Linked DNA regions of Mytilus edulis. The protein of the gene in region 1 binds, or shares a complex with, the protein of each later gene. Links are inferred from orthologs where the notes say so. Each region holds a gene or a part of one and is shown on either strand. Other genes may lie near its edges.

The links. The genes of interacting proteins can lie anywhere in the genome.
Region 2: the proteins of large ribosomal subunit protein uL2-like (region 1) and ribosomal oxygenase 1-like are in contact, whole or in part, in a crystal structure (PDB 4CCN), measured with the Homo sapiens proteins. The link is inferred for Mytilus edulis from reciprocal best matches to the Homo sapiens genes RPL8 and RIOX1. Residues at the interface, in NP_000964.1 of Homo sapiens: Gly213, Gly214, Asn215, His216, Gln217, His218, Ile219, Lys221, Pro222; in NP_078920.2 of Homo sapiens: Gly259, Gln260, Arg272, Thr274, Arg297, Met322, Ala323, Gly324, Ser325, Asn326, Tyr328, Phe337, His340, Asp342, Ile344, Ser374, Asn376, Thr419, Ser421, Thr422, Gln424, Tyr577.

What each region holds. Positions count from the first base shown.
Region 1 is NC_092346.1:81,980,620-81,988,565, reverse strand, and holds the start of large ribosomal subunit protein uL2-like, read right to left. Parts: upstream 3,146-7,946; 5' UTR 3,044-3,145; intron 1,910-3,043; 5' UTR 1,907-1,909; coding exon 1,769-1,906; intron 245-1,768; coding exon 103-244; intron 1-102. UniProt on the Homo sapiens protein: Component of the large ribosomal subunit. The ribosome is a large ribonucleoprotein complex responsible for the synthesis of proteins in the cell.
Region 2 is NC_092346.1:91,075,145-91,082,911, forward strand, and holds the start of ribosomal oxygenase 1-like, read right to left. Parts: upstream 3,126-7,767; 5' UTR 3,039-3,125; coding exon 2,997-3,038; intron 1-2,996. Other genes in the region: myb-like protein X, read left to right, coding at 5,706-5,738, 6,071-6,296, 6,772-7,072, 7,569-7,669. UniProt on the Homo sapiens protein: Oxygenase that can act as both a histone lysine demethylase and a ribosomal histidine hydroxylase. Specifically demethylates 'Lys-4' (H3K4me) and 'Lys-36' (H3K36me) of histone H3, thereby playing a central role in histone code.

The sequences.
Region 1 (7,946 bases):
CCTAGAAAATATATATAGGTTCAGAAATTTAAGGAGTTTTTATAAGAGATCATGTGTTTTTAGTTAAATAACAAACCCTTGTATTTTAATATAGTTGTATACCTTTTTTGCCACAATAAACAAATTGCCCAGTGTACATTCCTTCGGCTGCTACAAAGGTCTCCATTCTTTGTTTAAATCTATATGGATCTCTGAATACCACTTTAGCAAGAGGAGCACCACGACCAGAGTCATGTATAATGTCCTAAAATACATAAAATCTTTGTATTTTTTTTAAAAGGCACATGTACAATGTAGGTTTATGGTACACAATAAGTGCTAAACAAGGAGATTCCCAAATACAAAAATTTAAAGCAAAATCAAAGGGTTTTAAAACATCAATTTAAACACTGCTACTATTTCTGCTAAACCATAAAACTACTGTTTCTTTCATCAGTCAGGGTAGCTGCGGAATCATATCTCTTAGGTCCTTATGTTATTTTTTGACTATTTGCGGACCATAGAGCTACGGATTTTTCCTATTTCAAAACGTTCGGAATTGTGACCAGGTTCAGGTCGCACTTATTTCTCAAAAAAATATTGTTTATAATCCATGCAAAACTTGTCAATATATATAGTTCGTTTTTGTTAGATATTTTTCTAGGATATGACGTACCTATTTATGTTTGAATATTCATTTCCTTAACACTATTATCTAATTATTTCCATTTGTATACATTCTCCGCCTATTTTATTCCGCCATATTGAATTTCGTCGTGACGTCACGAGGATCAAGAAAAGATAACTATTTAACTTCTCAAATTTCTTGTTTCAGTGATTTTGAAAAGTCTGTGTGAAAATTTTAAATATTTCACAGCCAATATCACTCAAAGAAGTGATTTTGAAATCACTTGTTTCAGTAGTACCCCTGAATGTTCATTACGTCTCTGTCAAATTGATATAAAATTTGAAAGTCTCTGCTAATTATGCATAGATGCCAACCCCCTTTTGACACAATCAGTAACAAACTATCAAATTTTCCGTATTTTTGAAAAGTTTTGAGTAATCATTCATAAACGTGCATTTACCAATAAAAATTACTGACGAGTTGCAAAGTGATGTACACTAAAATTTGTCATTTAACATGTTGTCTGTAGTATGTATTCCATTCATTAATTGTTCAGATGTTCTCGACTCAAACATTTTTGTTTTGTCAAGGAGAAGTAGAGAAAGGAGGAAAGCTGCTTAATAAAATGCAAGTTTGCCTCTTCGGAAGTCAGTCAGTTACCCAACAATAGGTTGATAACTCCCGAGAAACCGGAAGCATTACATTGGCGTTTCCTAAATACTGGACCAGGACGGAAAAGTAATGATAAAAATCCGTGTTTTACAAAATTGAACGTCGATGATTGGGAATCCGTAACTATTCGACTTTGACCGTAATAGCGTAGTTTTTATCGCAAAATCAGAAAAACTACGGAAAAATCGTAATGGTTGGCATCTATGGTTATGCTTTTATAGATTAATAAAAAAAAAATATGTATGCACTGTAGCTCTCTTCATCTTAAAAATTGACTAATAAGCACATTTGTATAAATTAGTATCAAAACTGGTAAGGCACCTTAAATTTCTGGTGGAACCCAATAATCTTTGGGAGAAAAAAAAATAAAGTCGAGTCCCTGCATTCATTCATGGTGTATTCAATCACATTATAATAGCAATAACAGATATTTTACAACTTTGAGCCTAGAGTTGAATAACTGCATTCTAAAATTAATATTACTTATACCTTGATACATCCTTTTATGTAACCATGTCTCTCAGCAAAATCAACTGGTCTAAAAGCTGCTCTACCCTTTTTGTTTCTTGTGCGGGCCTTGAAAACACTTCCAGGCCCTTTTCTCTGGGACCTAATTACTCTTCCCATTATCTGAAAACAAGCAAACTTTTATCATCAATGATTCCTCGGACATGAAATTGTTCAATTGAGCATGACAACCTTGAAAATTATACATATCCATATAAAACTGCAGCATGGTCATCATTGAAGGTAAGATTTTTATACAAGGCAAATATGTTCTTTTCAATTTTTACCTGCTTCAAGTATATGACAGTAAATAGTCGGGGACACCAAACTACACAACTACTTAGGCTACTGTCTTAGGCCATCTTGTCAATCCTTGAAATAAACTTGGTATAAAAGATTACCTATTAACCTGTGTAATTATAAATAATTTACTAATTATGCGGTTAGTCAGTCTTCACGCTGAACTGCTAAATCTACAGGCCCGCAGCTCAATTTTTGAAATTTTTTAGTTAGATTCTGTTGGCCTGTAGGTCTGATTTTTATAGGCCCGAGAGCAATTTTACCAGCCTGGGCTGCCACTCGTGGAGAAGACTGGGTTAGTTTCTCAATAGGACTACTTCACATTTTACATGCCATGGCCTATTTAAGTCCAGTATTACTATGCACTCCAAGGCACTAAAGAATACTTGAATCCAATGGCTGTTTAGCCAGACAAGCTAGGGCCGCGTCTGACAATGGACATCACAGGACTTTACACGGATAGTAAACAGTATGGGCATGAAATGTAATTGTTTTTGAAGCCTGAAAGGTTGCTTACAATTGCTCGATTGTGCCTGCCACTTCTCCATACCCAATAGTGACTAACGGTGCAGATTGCTGTCAAAAAGGAGGATTCTGATGCAGCAATGGGGATTTAATATTCATCAGCTTTTAAAAGTTAAAATCGACAGTAACCTACCTACTACCGTTGTAATAATATGCAATCTTAATACTTCGTTCAGAAGAAAAGCTTGGTACTATTTCGGTGAACCATTAAAGCACACATAAATACATAAATCGTCAGTAACACATATATCATGATTGCCCTAACAGAGGACCTGCATGGTTTTTGGTTAGAAATGTATATAAATTACTTGGGTTTTATCTAATTTTTAAAAAGAAGACATATAATTTGAATGTATAATGGTGACAAACTATGTTTTATGAGGCAAAATTCAAAAGATTAAGATGGATTTCTAGCGATAATATTTCACTCACGGGTATCTAGTAAAAATATAGACCGGAAAAGGAAGTTGATGGTGACTGGTTTTTCAAAAACATTTTTACACCCAAGGTACCAGATCATTTTCACTAAGTACCAGCAATATTAAATTGGAAAGCAAAGACAACAATGAACATTTTAATAAATCAAACGGAGAGTGTTTAGTAATTTTTATGTTCGCTGGCCTGTCACGGAATAAAAGTTCCTTTATAATAAAAGTTACAAATGGAATAAATATCACAGTAAATGTTCCTAACGGAATAAATGGTATAAGATATCTGATAAGACAGGGACTTTCTATACTAGTTAGTATAGAAAGTCCACAGCGGCACTTGTTTCAGAATTTTTTTCCCTATATATTTTAAAATAACACAAGGTACTTAACTTGCATTTTAGAAAAATATCAGGTGGTGACGAAATTCCGTTATATGCCGCTTTCTAGACTGTCAACCCCACTAACACTTGTTATATCGTAAATCTAAATTGATTTATCTTTACAATGGTGTATAACACGACTACATTTGTTGTCGGAATCATCCGTAGCTATCCTACCCAAGTATGTCAATCATATACATATACATATAACGGAATTTCGTCACCGCCTGACATAATAACATATATACAATGAAGGAGTGACAGTGGATAATTATGAGTAAAATATATAAAAATTAAAGAGAAGCATATAAATTATTGCAGAAATCAAGTACCTTTTAATAATGAGTTTCTCAACAAGCAGTCATTCAAATAGTTGACAACAATTTTAAATATTGTTGGGAAATTACTATTTAAAATTGATAGAAGCAAGTTATATGATAAAGAAAGTAATTTGATGTTCAATAGAACATTATTTCATTTTTTATAAGGTTATCTCTAACATAGTTATAGGATGAACATTTTAAAAGAAAGTGTAGTTCATCTTCAATGTCTCCATTGTTGCAGCAAAGACATACCCTACTCTGCTTAACCTTTGGTATTTTTAGATACCGCCCTCTTTCAATAGATAAAGTACGAGCAGTTAACATTTGGATTTGCATTGATCAACATACAAGGGTTTTTTATTTGGTTTATTTAATAATATTTGTTCCAACAGGAACAGATATTATGACATTGTTTATAATAAAGTTTCCATGCAGTGGAACTTCTGTTAGGCGGAACACATATACGTTGAAAGGCCAAGGGTTATGATTCAGTCCCCTAATCTCCACGTGGCATCACTGATAACAAAATAAAATGAAGAGTCATGTTACCATACAGTACATATGTATCTGGTGTTACCTTGATGTGCCGGACGCAAAATTCAGCGACTCTTTTCCGTGAAAAAAAAATCAACATGGGCTTAAAATTAAATGTTATCGTAACCTAAACCAGTGACAGTCTACAGTCCCTGGTAATACTGAAATGTGTATGACTAACGTGTACTTCATGTTACACTTAAGATTTCAAGATCTCATTCTGGCCCGTCTTCTAGTACGTTAATTTTTGATAACACAGCCAATTTTACGACCGCACCACTTTGGAAAGGGTTTTACAACGGTAGTGAAGGAGACCTTTTCTCTGGGATTAACTTTTCATGAAATATAAAATAGTGGCGGATCCTGGAGGAGCCAGGAGGGTTCCTGGGATTGAAACCTCCCGGGCTCTTTTTTTATGCCGGACGATCAATGCATTTGAATGGGACATTATTTATCCTGGGTTGGGAACCCCTTTTGAAAATGGCTGGATCCGCCCCTGGAAAAGTATTGATGGGATTTACCTTTTTCTTCGTTTTGATTCCAGGCTTTTATTGAGTTCTAGAGCAACGTCCCTTGGTGAACCTTGCACAGAAGCAATGAGTATCACGTGTATAACCACTATCGCGGACAATCTTGTTATATAATATTTGTAGCTTGTTCTGTTTCCTGTTAACTTAAACATTATTCTTGATAGAATTGACATTACTTCACCAAACACTACTTTATTGCTCATATTTTACTTTATGTTTTATTATATTGTGTATATAGAACTGGCAGGCATTTTTTTAACAGATACCATTTTTGTTCGCTTATTGTTGTATTACGGTGTTCATGCCAGTATCTTGTCTGACAAGGACCGACACGATTGATAACATACAATATTGTTTAATATGTCTTTCGTCTATATATATGTAGGACTCTAAAGTGCGATGGTACTCTAAAGTGCGATGGTCACGCTAAAGTGCGATGGTATACGCTAAAGTGCGATGGTGTTTCACGCTAAAGTACGATGGATGATTGTTTGCTAAAGTACGATGGTATAGCACAAGGAGAAAACGTAATCAGAAAATCATAAAACTAGAGGCTCTAAAGAGCCTGTGTCGCTCCCCTAGGTCTTGTGCATATTAAACAATGGACACATGCAGATACATTCATGACATAATTGTGTTTTGGTGATGGTGATGTGTTTGTAGATCTTACTTTACTGAACATTCTTGTTGCTACAATTATCTCTATCTATAATGAACTTGGCCCAGTAATTACAGTGGAAAATATTTTCTAAAAATTTACAAAAATTTATGAAAAATGTTAAAAATTAACTATAAAGGGCAATAACTCCTTAAGGGGTCAATTGACTATTTTGGTCATGTAAACTTATTTGTAGATCTTATTTTGCTGAACGTTATTGCTGTATACAGTTTATCTCAATCTATAATAATATTCAAGATAATAACAAAAAACGGCAAAATTTCCTTAAAATTACCAATTCAGGACAGTAACCTAACAACGGGTTGTTCGATCCATGTGAAAATATCAGGGCAGATAGATCTTGACCTGATTAACAATTAAACCCTGTCAGATTTTCTCTTAATGCTTCGGTTTTTGAGTTATAAGCCAAAAACTGCATTTTACCCCTATGTTCTATTATTAGCCGTGGTAGCCATTTTGGTTGGATGGTCGGGTCACCGAACACATTTTTTAAACTAGATACCCCAAAGATGATTGTGGCCAAGTTTGAATTAATTCTGCCCAGTAGTTTCAGAGGAGAAGATTTTTGTAAAAGATTACTAAAATTTACGAAAAATTGTTAAAAATTGACTATAAAGGACAATAACTCCTAAAGGGGTCCACTGACCATTTCAATCGTGATGACTTATTTGTAAATCTTACTTTGCTGAACATTATTGCTGTTTACAGTTTATCTCTATCTATATTAATATTCAAGATAATAACCAAAACCAGCAAAATTTCCTTAAAATTACCAATTCAGGGACAGCAACCCAAAAATGGGTTGTCTGATTCATCTGAAAATTTCAGGGCAGATAGATCTTGACCTGATAAACAATTTAACATATGTCAGATTTGCTCTAAATGCTTTAGTTTTTGAGTTATAAACCAAAATCTGCATTTTACCCCTATGTTCTATTTTTAGCCATGGCGGCCATCTTCTTTGATTGGCCAGGTCACGCCACACATTTTTTAAACTAGATACCCCAATGATGATTGTGGCCAAAAAAAAGACTGAACCTCTTCTGAAGATTATCTATAAAAGAAGCAATTCAGCCCCAGTCCCACTAGACCACGATCGCACCACGCTCACCGCGATTTAAAATGAATTCAGATCGTGGTGATGTCGCGGTATGAGCGGCATCAAAATGTAAATTTTCGTTGCTTTCACGATGCTACCACGTCCTTATCACGCTTTTACAACGATCCCGCTACGGTTATACCACGTTCTCACCGCGCTTATTCTTCGACCTCACTACGCTTATCTCTCTACGCTCATCACGTTCTCACCACGACCATGTCACGAGTTATCCGATTGCAACACGATCTTACCACGATTCTACTGCGATTATAGCACGTTCTTACCACGATTATACTACGTTCACACCGCGATCTTACTACGTTCTCAGCAATAACGTCAACATCGTGCTCCATATCAATACAGTTCCATTCCTTCTATTTCCGATTAATACGACGATCTGTGGAAATAATGCAAATTTTGATGATCGTAGTACGATCGTGTAGATCGCAGTAAGGTCGTATCACGGTCGTGGTGAGGTCTTCAAGATCGTGATGAGCGTTGTCAACTTTGAACATGTTCAAAACAATCGTGGTGCGGTCGTTGCGAAATCAGGTCGTAATAGAAGCGTAGTGAGCGCGCACTAAGGTCGTAGTAAGATCGCAAAGGTCGCTATACCATCGTAGCGGGAGCGTAGCGAAAGCATGATTCTATTCGGAGATATTGCAATACGATCATACAGCGACGTTATTACGACCTCACTACGACCATCACGTTCTCATCGCGACCTGTCTACGCTTCCGCTACGACTATACCACGCTGTTCATGATCATAGTACGATTCTAGCACGCCCTTGTCGTCCTCGTTGCGCTCTTCTTACGACCTGACTACGTTCATACTACGACCATCATTGTCATTGTCATATTTACATAAAATAAATTAAATCTCTGTCTTTGGTATGAAGCTTCCCGTTAACGATATAGATATAGGAAATTTACGAAACCAGATCGGGGAAATGAAAACAAAATAACGAACACCATTCAGATCCCGTTACATATTTTTTTAATATCTCTCGGTAAAAAAACATTACTCATTGTTAAGTATTGTCATCCCTTTTCTGCCAAATTCTATGCATATCGGTCAACTTTGAAGCAAGATGTGTCGAAAAATCTGCAATTTCAATAACACATGTGGACACAAACATGATGGTAGTCTCACATATATCGAAAATCAGCTCAAATTCTGAAGGCGTATAGAAATAAAGTCCGTATTACTGTGATTTTCAACAATTTTCAAAGTCGTAAACCCTTCATTGAGGCAAAATTCAGTAGAGCGGAACTAAACTTAAACTTGACTTGTAACTCATCATGGTTAACTTATACATACCAAAAACCAGCCCAATATCTGAGGGCTTTTGTATAA
Region 2 (7,767 bases), about 9.1 Mb from region 1:
TCCGCCACTGTATATGTATAACCGACTTTAAATAAATCTTTTATGCTTTATGCTTATTTATGCTAAATATTTGTGTATAAATATAATTTCATACGTTTGAACGTAGTGAATTAGAGTGAAATTATTTTCGCTTGTCTTTTCATGATGTATCGGTGTCGTACTTATCATGTGGTCAGTTTCCCGCCGAAACGGGGGTTTTGGTCATTCAGCACAACAGCGCCAAAGCGAGAGGTTCTCTCTCATTTAACACTTGGTAAATTTTAATTTATTCAATTAGTCCCCCCTTTTTTAATCATTTATAAGATATATAGGATTGATAGGACTGGAGGGTTGTTTTTCTTTTTGGTATAATATTATATACATATGTGTTTTTGAATGTTCATGTGTAACATATTTAATAACACAGCAGCGGTGTTGTTGTGTAGTTTTGCACTTTAATTATGAGTTTTGTATTCTTTATACTTTCACAGTAAATGGTTTTTTAAAGGCATACATTATCATGGGGTGACGTACATGAGACTAGTATTATGTAGTGAAGTTTAATACAGAGTGAAGGTTGTATCAAGAGAACACAGTTACAGTTACATGTATATTTCATTCTATTCTACTATTCTAACAAGAGGCTGTCAAAACGACAGCAAACTGGATTTATTTACATTTATTTGTGTCCTGGCAATATCACAAGAACCATTACTGATGAATGGTGAAAGCGAAAATCATCAATATCAAATTTGACCTCCATTTTGTCATCAGTATCAACATTTTGAAATAATAATATTTGAAAAGCTTAGATTGAATGGTTCATGAGTAAATGCAACAACGTGAATGGAAACGCCATTTTACGATCTTTCAAGAACCATAACTCCTGAACGGTAAAAGTCAAAATCGTCATTATGGAACTTGACCTCTATTTTGTCATCAGTAACAACATATTAAAATTTCAAAAGCTTTGGTTGAATGGTTCATGAGAAAATGCACGAACACAACGGGAAACACCATTTTTCAATCTTTCAAGAGCCATAACTCCTGAACGGTAAAAGTCAAAATCGTCATTATTGAACTTGACCTCCATTTTGTCATCAGTAACAGCATATTAAAATTTCAGAAGCTTTGGTAGAACAGTTCATGCATAAATGCACGGACACGACTGGAAACTCCATTTTTTAATCTTTCAAGAACCATAACTCCTTAACGGTAAAAGTCAAAATCGTCATTATTGAACTTGACCTCCATTCTGTCCTCAGTAACAACATATTAAAATTTGGGAAGCTTTGGTAGAACAGTTCATGAGTAAATGCAAGGACACGACTGAAAACTCCTTTTTTCAATCTTTCAAGAACCATAACTCCTGAACGGTAAAAGTCAAAATCGTCATTATTGAACTTGACCTCCATTCTGTCCTCAGTAACAACATATTAAAATTTGGGAAGCTTTGGTAGAACAGTTCATGAGTAAATGCACGGACACGACTGAAAACTCCATTTTTCAATCTTTCAAGAACCATAACTCCTGAACGGTAAAAGTCAAAATCGCCATTATTGAACTTGACCTCCGTATAGTTGTCAGTAATAACATATTAAAATTTTAAAAGCTTTGGTTGAACGGTTCATGAGTTAATGCACGGACAACATTTGATTGCCGCCTTTCAAGAACCATAACTCCTGAACGGTAAAAGTCAAAATCGCCATTATTGAACTTGACCTTCGTATAGTTGTCAGTAATAACATATTAAAATTTTAAAAGCTTTAGTTGAACGGTTCATGAGTTAATGCACGGACAACATTTGATTGCCGCCCGCCCGCCCCACCCGCCCGCCCGCCGTACATCCCCAAATCAATAACCGACATTTTTGTCACAAAAATCCGGTTAATAATCAGTGATCTCAATGGATGAAAATTGAAAGATGGAGGAACTTTTACCATGACATCTTTTCGCATCTACATCATGTAGTATTTATTGAAGATGAATTAATAACAAGCGATTAGGAATGTTATTTTTCCCTCAATAATGTCTGTGTGTCTATAGATCGGTTACCATTCAAAAACATAGTTAGGTTAGTAGAAATCTCTGCAGCAGCACTACATGTTCAACACGGGAAAAAAAGGAAGTCCCTATAAAAAAAAATTTTAACAGCAGAAAACTGGGGTGTTCCCTGGAAACAAGAAATGCCCCCACTTTTCCTGACTAGTGTCAAACTGGTTGATGATACTAGGAAACAATTCTACTTATTTGGGTCAAAAAGGCTTCAAAAGCAACATAATTTCATAAATGGAACACGATTGTTTTTTTTTTTAATCTTGTTAAAAAAAAAGACCATTATTGATTATTCAGCATAACAGCAATTAGTACAAATAATTTTGACATCATCTTGAAAGGCTATTATATTTTTTTTCTTTGACGCCTTACATCGACGTCATAACACCAAACTCATATTTTCAGTTGGCCTTTGAGAGGAAATTTACTGCTTTATTAAATCAGATAAACGTTTTTAAAAAAGCAGTCGACAAGTTCCCGCCTCGGATGGAATTGTAACTTATTTTATTATTACTGTAGGGATTAATTGGAAATATTTTGCACAAACAAACACATAAAAGGTAAGAATTTTTATATATGCAAAAAAATTTAGCCTTCAATGAAAATTTTATGGCTAAATTGGGTCTCAAAGTTGAGGCATCACAGCAAAAATTTAAAATAGCCTTCCAAGACGTCATAATTATTTAGACTAAAAAGCAATATGAATAAGTATTGACAAAGTCTCCTGTGGACGAACTGGAAGTGGGACCGAAACGACCTGTGGACGAGCTGGTAATGTGGACGGAATGGTAGTGTGGCCGAGCTGGTAATGTGGCCGAAACGACCTGTGGACGAGGTGGTAATGTGGCCGAAACGACCTGTACGAAAGGCTCGTGTGGCTGAAACGTGTCGAAAGCGAGGATAAATTAGGTCTTTGATTTTGATGAATTCAATGACTGTAATCATAACACGTGTTTTATTACCTTACGTGAACGAAAAACAGAAAATGCAGACACTTTCTTCATTTTGAAATAGATATTATACTATGTTTAAATTTTCATTTCAACCCGCCATCCACATGGCTTTTTTGGAACGGAAGTTGTTACAAGGGTGAATCTATTATTTTGGGTGATATTTCTTTTCTTAAACCAACAACAATAAGCAATATTTTTGTATTGGAATTAAGTTTAACGTTTAAAATGAATGTAGCTTGGTACTATATAAATAATGAATATTTCTATGGAATTTTTGTGAGAGTTAGAAACATTTTTATTTTTAATATTGTAATCAAATCACCTATCAATAAAAGTAGAATCGTCTGTGGAAATCGGAAGTCAGTTACCGGAAGTTTTGATTTTTTCACATACCAAAATGAATGTCAAAAGCTAGTATTCGTCCAGAATTCTCACTTGAAATGTGACCTACACCTCTAAAAATTATCCTGTATCAGTAACTTTTAGGTGACGTCTCAATTGACCTGTTTGTCTTTGAAAAATTTGCTTTATTTGACTGTGTACTTCGTTTTAAAGTGAACTAGATAATTTGTGCGTATGATCACCATGGAAATTGTGTCAACTATCTGCAATTTCTGGTAATTAATTAAGTTTTATACAATAATGTAATAAGTAAGAAGTTTATTTCTAATTTATTATAGAATTGTTCTATATATAACATGTTTGACAACAAGGAAGGAGTTGATGGTTGATGTGGTCTGTTGGACTGTTGAATCCAAGTCCATGGACACTGAAATTCCCTTTGCCTGAATATGTAAAAGCTCTTTTGTTCCGACGTTGGAAAGTTCCAGGCGGAAAGAACAAACTAGCCGAAAAGTTCAGGGGGAACTTATTTAAAACTATAAAAAAGAAGATGTGGTATGATTGCCAATGAGACAACTATCCACAAAAGACCAAAATGACACAGACATTAACAACTATAGGTCACCGTATGGCCTTCAACAATGAGCAAAGCCCATACCGCATAGTCAGCTATAATAGGCCCAGATAAGAGTTACTTTGTTCTTCCTCTGGTTTAAAAGTTTCACTGGATCAAAGTGACTTTTTGAAAAGTTCCAACGGAACATATCAACTAGTTAGAAAGTTCCTTTTTGCCAAATTAGTCAAAACCGGAACTAACAAACTAGCCCAAAAGTTCCAACGGAACTTATCAACCAGTCACAAAGTTTCATTTGGAGAATACATACAAAGTAAAAGCGCAACATTTTATATTTGAACCTTTCAAAGGGGAACCAATATACTCTACTGATTACAAAAGTCAAAAGGAACTTATCAACTAGTCACAAAGTTCCTCTTTGGCAAATTAGTCAAAACAGGAACTAACAAACTAGCTCAAAAGTTCCTCCTCATGTGGGTAGTTTTAAAAATATCCTCAATTTAAGATTAATGTATAACAATAAATTAGAACTTATTCTGTTATGAAGGCAACATTCTGACTGAATTAACTAGTTGTTCTGTTCCGCCAGAACTATTCAACGAGCTACATTGTTCTGGGACTTTTCAACTAGCCACTTTTTTCCGGAACTTAGATTGCACTCGGAATAAAACAACTTGTTGAAAAGTTTCGCCGGAACAAAGTAACTGACGGAACATAGTGGCTGTTACAAATACACCTTATCGCTATTCCCGCTTGACCTGAGAATCTCATTCTGTCCCGCTTGAAGTTTTGATGTCATACAACAATCCCTTTTCCATTGTGGCATCAGATATTTTCTATTATGACGTCAATTTTTACGGGAACTTTTGTGATATTCAGTAATGGCGGACAAATAGCAATTGAAGGTGTATTGGCAATTTACGAAAGGATTGTCAAAATAGATGAAAGTATAAGCAATTTTTTTCTTCATCACTTAAATTTTAAAAGTAAAAAATAAAATTGTATGACATTTACCAGGCAACATATGATTACAGTGGAATCCTCTAGTCTACACGGCTTGGGATATCTAGCATTACAAGACCATATGATATTCGACATGTATATCAAATAAAATTATTTTTGTTATTTTATGAAGCATCAAAGTGATTGAAGTTGAAGAGCTCATGCTAAAAAATAATAATTGAAAACATCACATCATCAGATAAAAATGGTTGTCAAATTTTTATCTAATTGAAAAAATATATTGCAACCAATTCTTGACAGTCTGTTTCGTTCAAACTAAACTATATTTCAATAATTTCATTGTATAAAAACTTTTCTGTATTGTAAATGAGCTATTTTCCTAAGACATGCACAAAATCAAATGCATGACCAGATGAGTTTATCCCGGTAATTTTGTATGGTCCGGTATTTATACATATTGCATTTCACTAGTACTTGTTTTAATGATAAAATGTGGGAAACAAATTGTGTCATAATATTAATTACTGTATTTTACTGATAAATCCACTGATATTTTGTGAAATGATAAGAGCTGTATATATACATTTAGCATGTTTAGAGATATTTTACAATTTAATAGACAAATCAAAGAGTTTTCCCATACTGTTGAACCAATTGGTGTTTTTTTATACTAAGATGTAGTAATTAACTTATTCACATATATATTATTATATTCAGTATATATTAAATACATATATTATAATTTTAGGTTCAGTGACTGAATTATGTTATATTCAATTACAATAGTGTCAGTTTAAATCAGAGAAGGTTTATTGAAGAATTAACATAAAAATTAAAAGATGAATGGCCATAGTGATAATCCAGATTTAGAAGTAAGTTTAAATTGTAACTCCACTTTTTTATTCCATATTTAAAAGGCCTTTTAAATGGGGTTAAATGTGGACGAAAAGCACAAAAAAACCAAGCATGTTGGGTCATCATTCTTTTCTTCAATGATAAGGTCCCAATAGATACATGTACATGTACTAACAAAATAAAACCAGTTATAGATAGATATACTTGTATATTCTTTTCAAAATGAACCAGATAAAAAAGGATTATAGAAAGATGTGGTACGAGTGCCAATGAGACAACTCTCCACCCAAGCACACATACAAATTTGAAAATGAAATGTTTGTGCTGATTTTGAAATTTTCTTTTCCAGGACATGGATCTTCATTTAAATCTTGAATCACTGGATACAAACAAATCACATTCACATAATTTTGAAATGTCTGATGAATCATCAGAATGGGAAGACGACCCTATGTTGATGAACCAGGAAGTGAAAAAGGAAAAATTACCTGATGAACTGTCCATAAACTTACAAGGTTTAAGTGGTGCTGAGGGAAGTGACAATGACAAGCAGCATGGAGGACTTCTACCTTATGGTAATGTAATATTATTGCTATTTGGGGTATTTTTCCTTTAATCTGTTTAGTTATTCAGTTTTCATATATTGCTATTTTTTGGGGGATAAAATAAATTATAGTTAGTAACAAAATGCGCATGCATATGTGCCATTGTCATTGTAAAAATCAACAAGGTCATAGGCCAAATAGCGATAAACAGACAATCAATGGTCTTTCAAACTCAAAGATGTCGCCCATCAATACAATTTTAGCTGAGAAACATTTACATAAAGCCTGGGTATCTTTAGTGAGCAGTAGAGTAGATTTTACCTGTTATATCAGAAGTCAAGTTTGTGTATTGATTTCAGTAAAGTAGGATGATGCTCTCTGTCAAAATAATGTACATTCCATCACTTTAATTTTCTTTACATATTTTTGATTTTAACCACATATTATTATTGGGGTAAATATTGTTCTTTGAAAAATGATGATGATTATATTTGATGAATTGTAGAAGATGGTATTGATGTGGACAGTGATGAAGAAAAAGAAATAATGAAAGAAATAAAAGATGAGATTCAAAAACAGATCCGAGGGGAAATGAAATCTGAATTGGAATTGTACCAAGCCAAGGTGGCAGCCTTAGAAGCAGGTAGTTCTAGGGCAGAAGAGTCAGACAGGGATACAGGTCAAGAAGACATGGATCCTAAAATGAAAGAAGCCATTTTGAAAATGAGAAAGTTGGACAGAATTCTGTCCAAAAAGATAAAACGAGAGAGAGAAGTTAAAAAGGATAGAATGATATTGGAAAGGAGGTAAATAAGAATAAAGCTTGGTATGCACAAAATACTTAGAAAATTAGACTATCCATTGAACCTAAACTCACAATATTTAAGCATTAAACTCTAAAGCAACAATTATCTCCAGTCAATTTAAAATACCAGTCATTGTATCTCACTATCTGGTGAAAAATTTTGGTTGCTTACACACTCATGTTTGTCTTATAATCACATTAATGAATTAATATTTTTCTTTGTCCTACAAAGTCCCCATAGTAAAATACAATCTGTAAGATCGACTGATCCGTTATCATTTAAAAACAAGAAACTGTTTAGAAAATATCTGTGATAGACTGCATCCTTAGTTACATGTAACAAGAAAAATAGATAAAGTTAGGATCTCTTAGTTGAATGAATATATCAGTGTACATTACTTACAATGGGTTCTTGGTGCCAATTCATCAAATACTGACATGGTTATTGGTACTACCACTTAGGTGAAGATAGTTATGAGAATGTTTGTATATTTCAGGATAAAGTCTGAGTTAGAAGGTATCAACCAACAGAATCATGATGTCAAGTTAAACACAGAGAAATTTCTGGCTCTAACACTGCCACCTAGTCACAATGAAGGTATTGTATGTTCCTGTAACATAATATTAAATATTAGCAGTAACTGTATTCTTGGTACAGACTAAAATCTATCTACATTTATTAAAAGAGTGACTCTT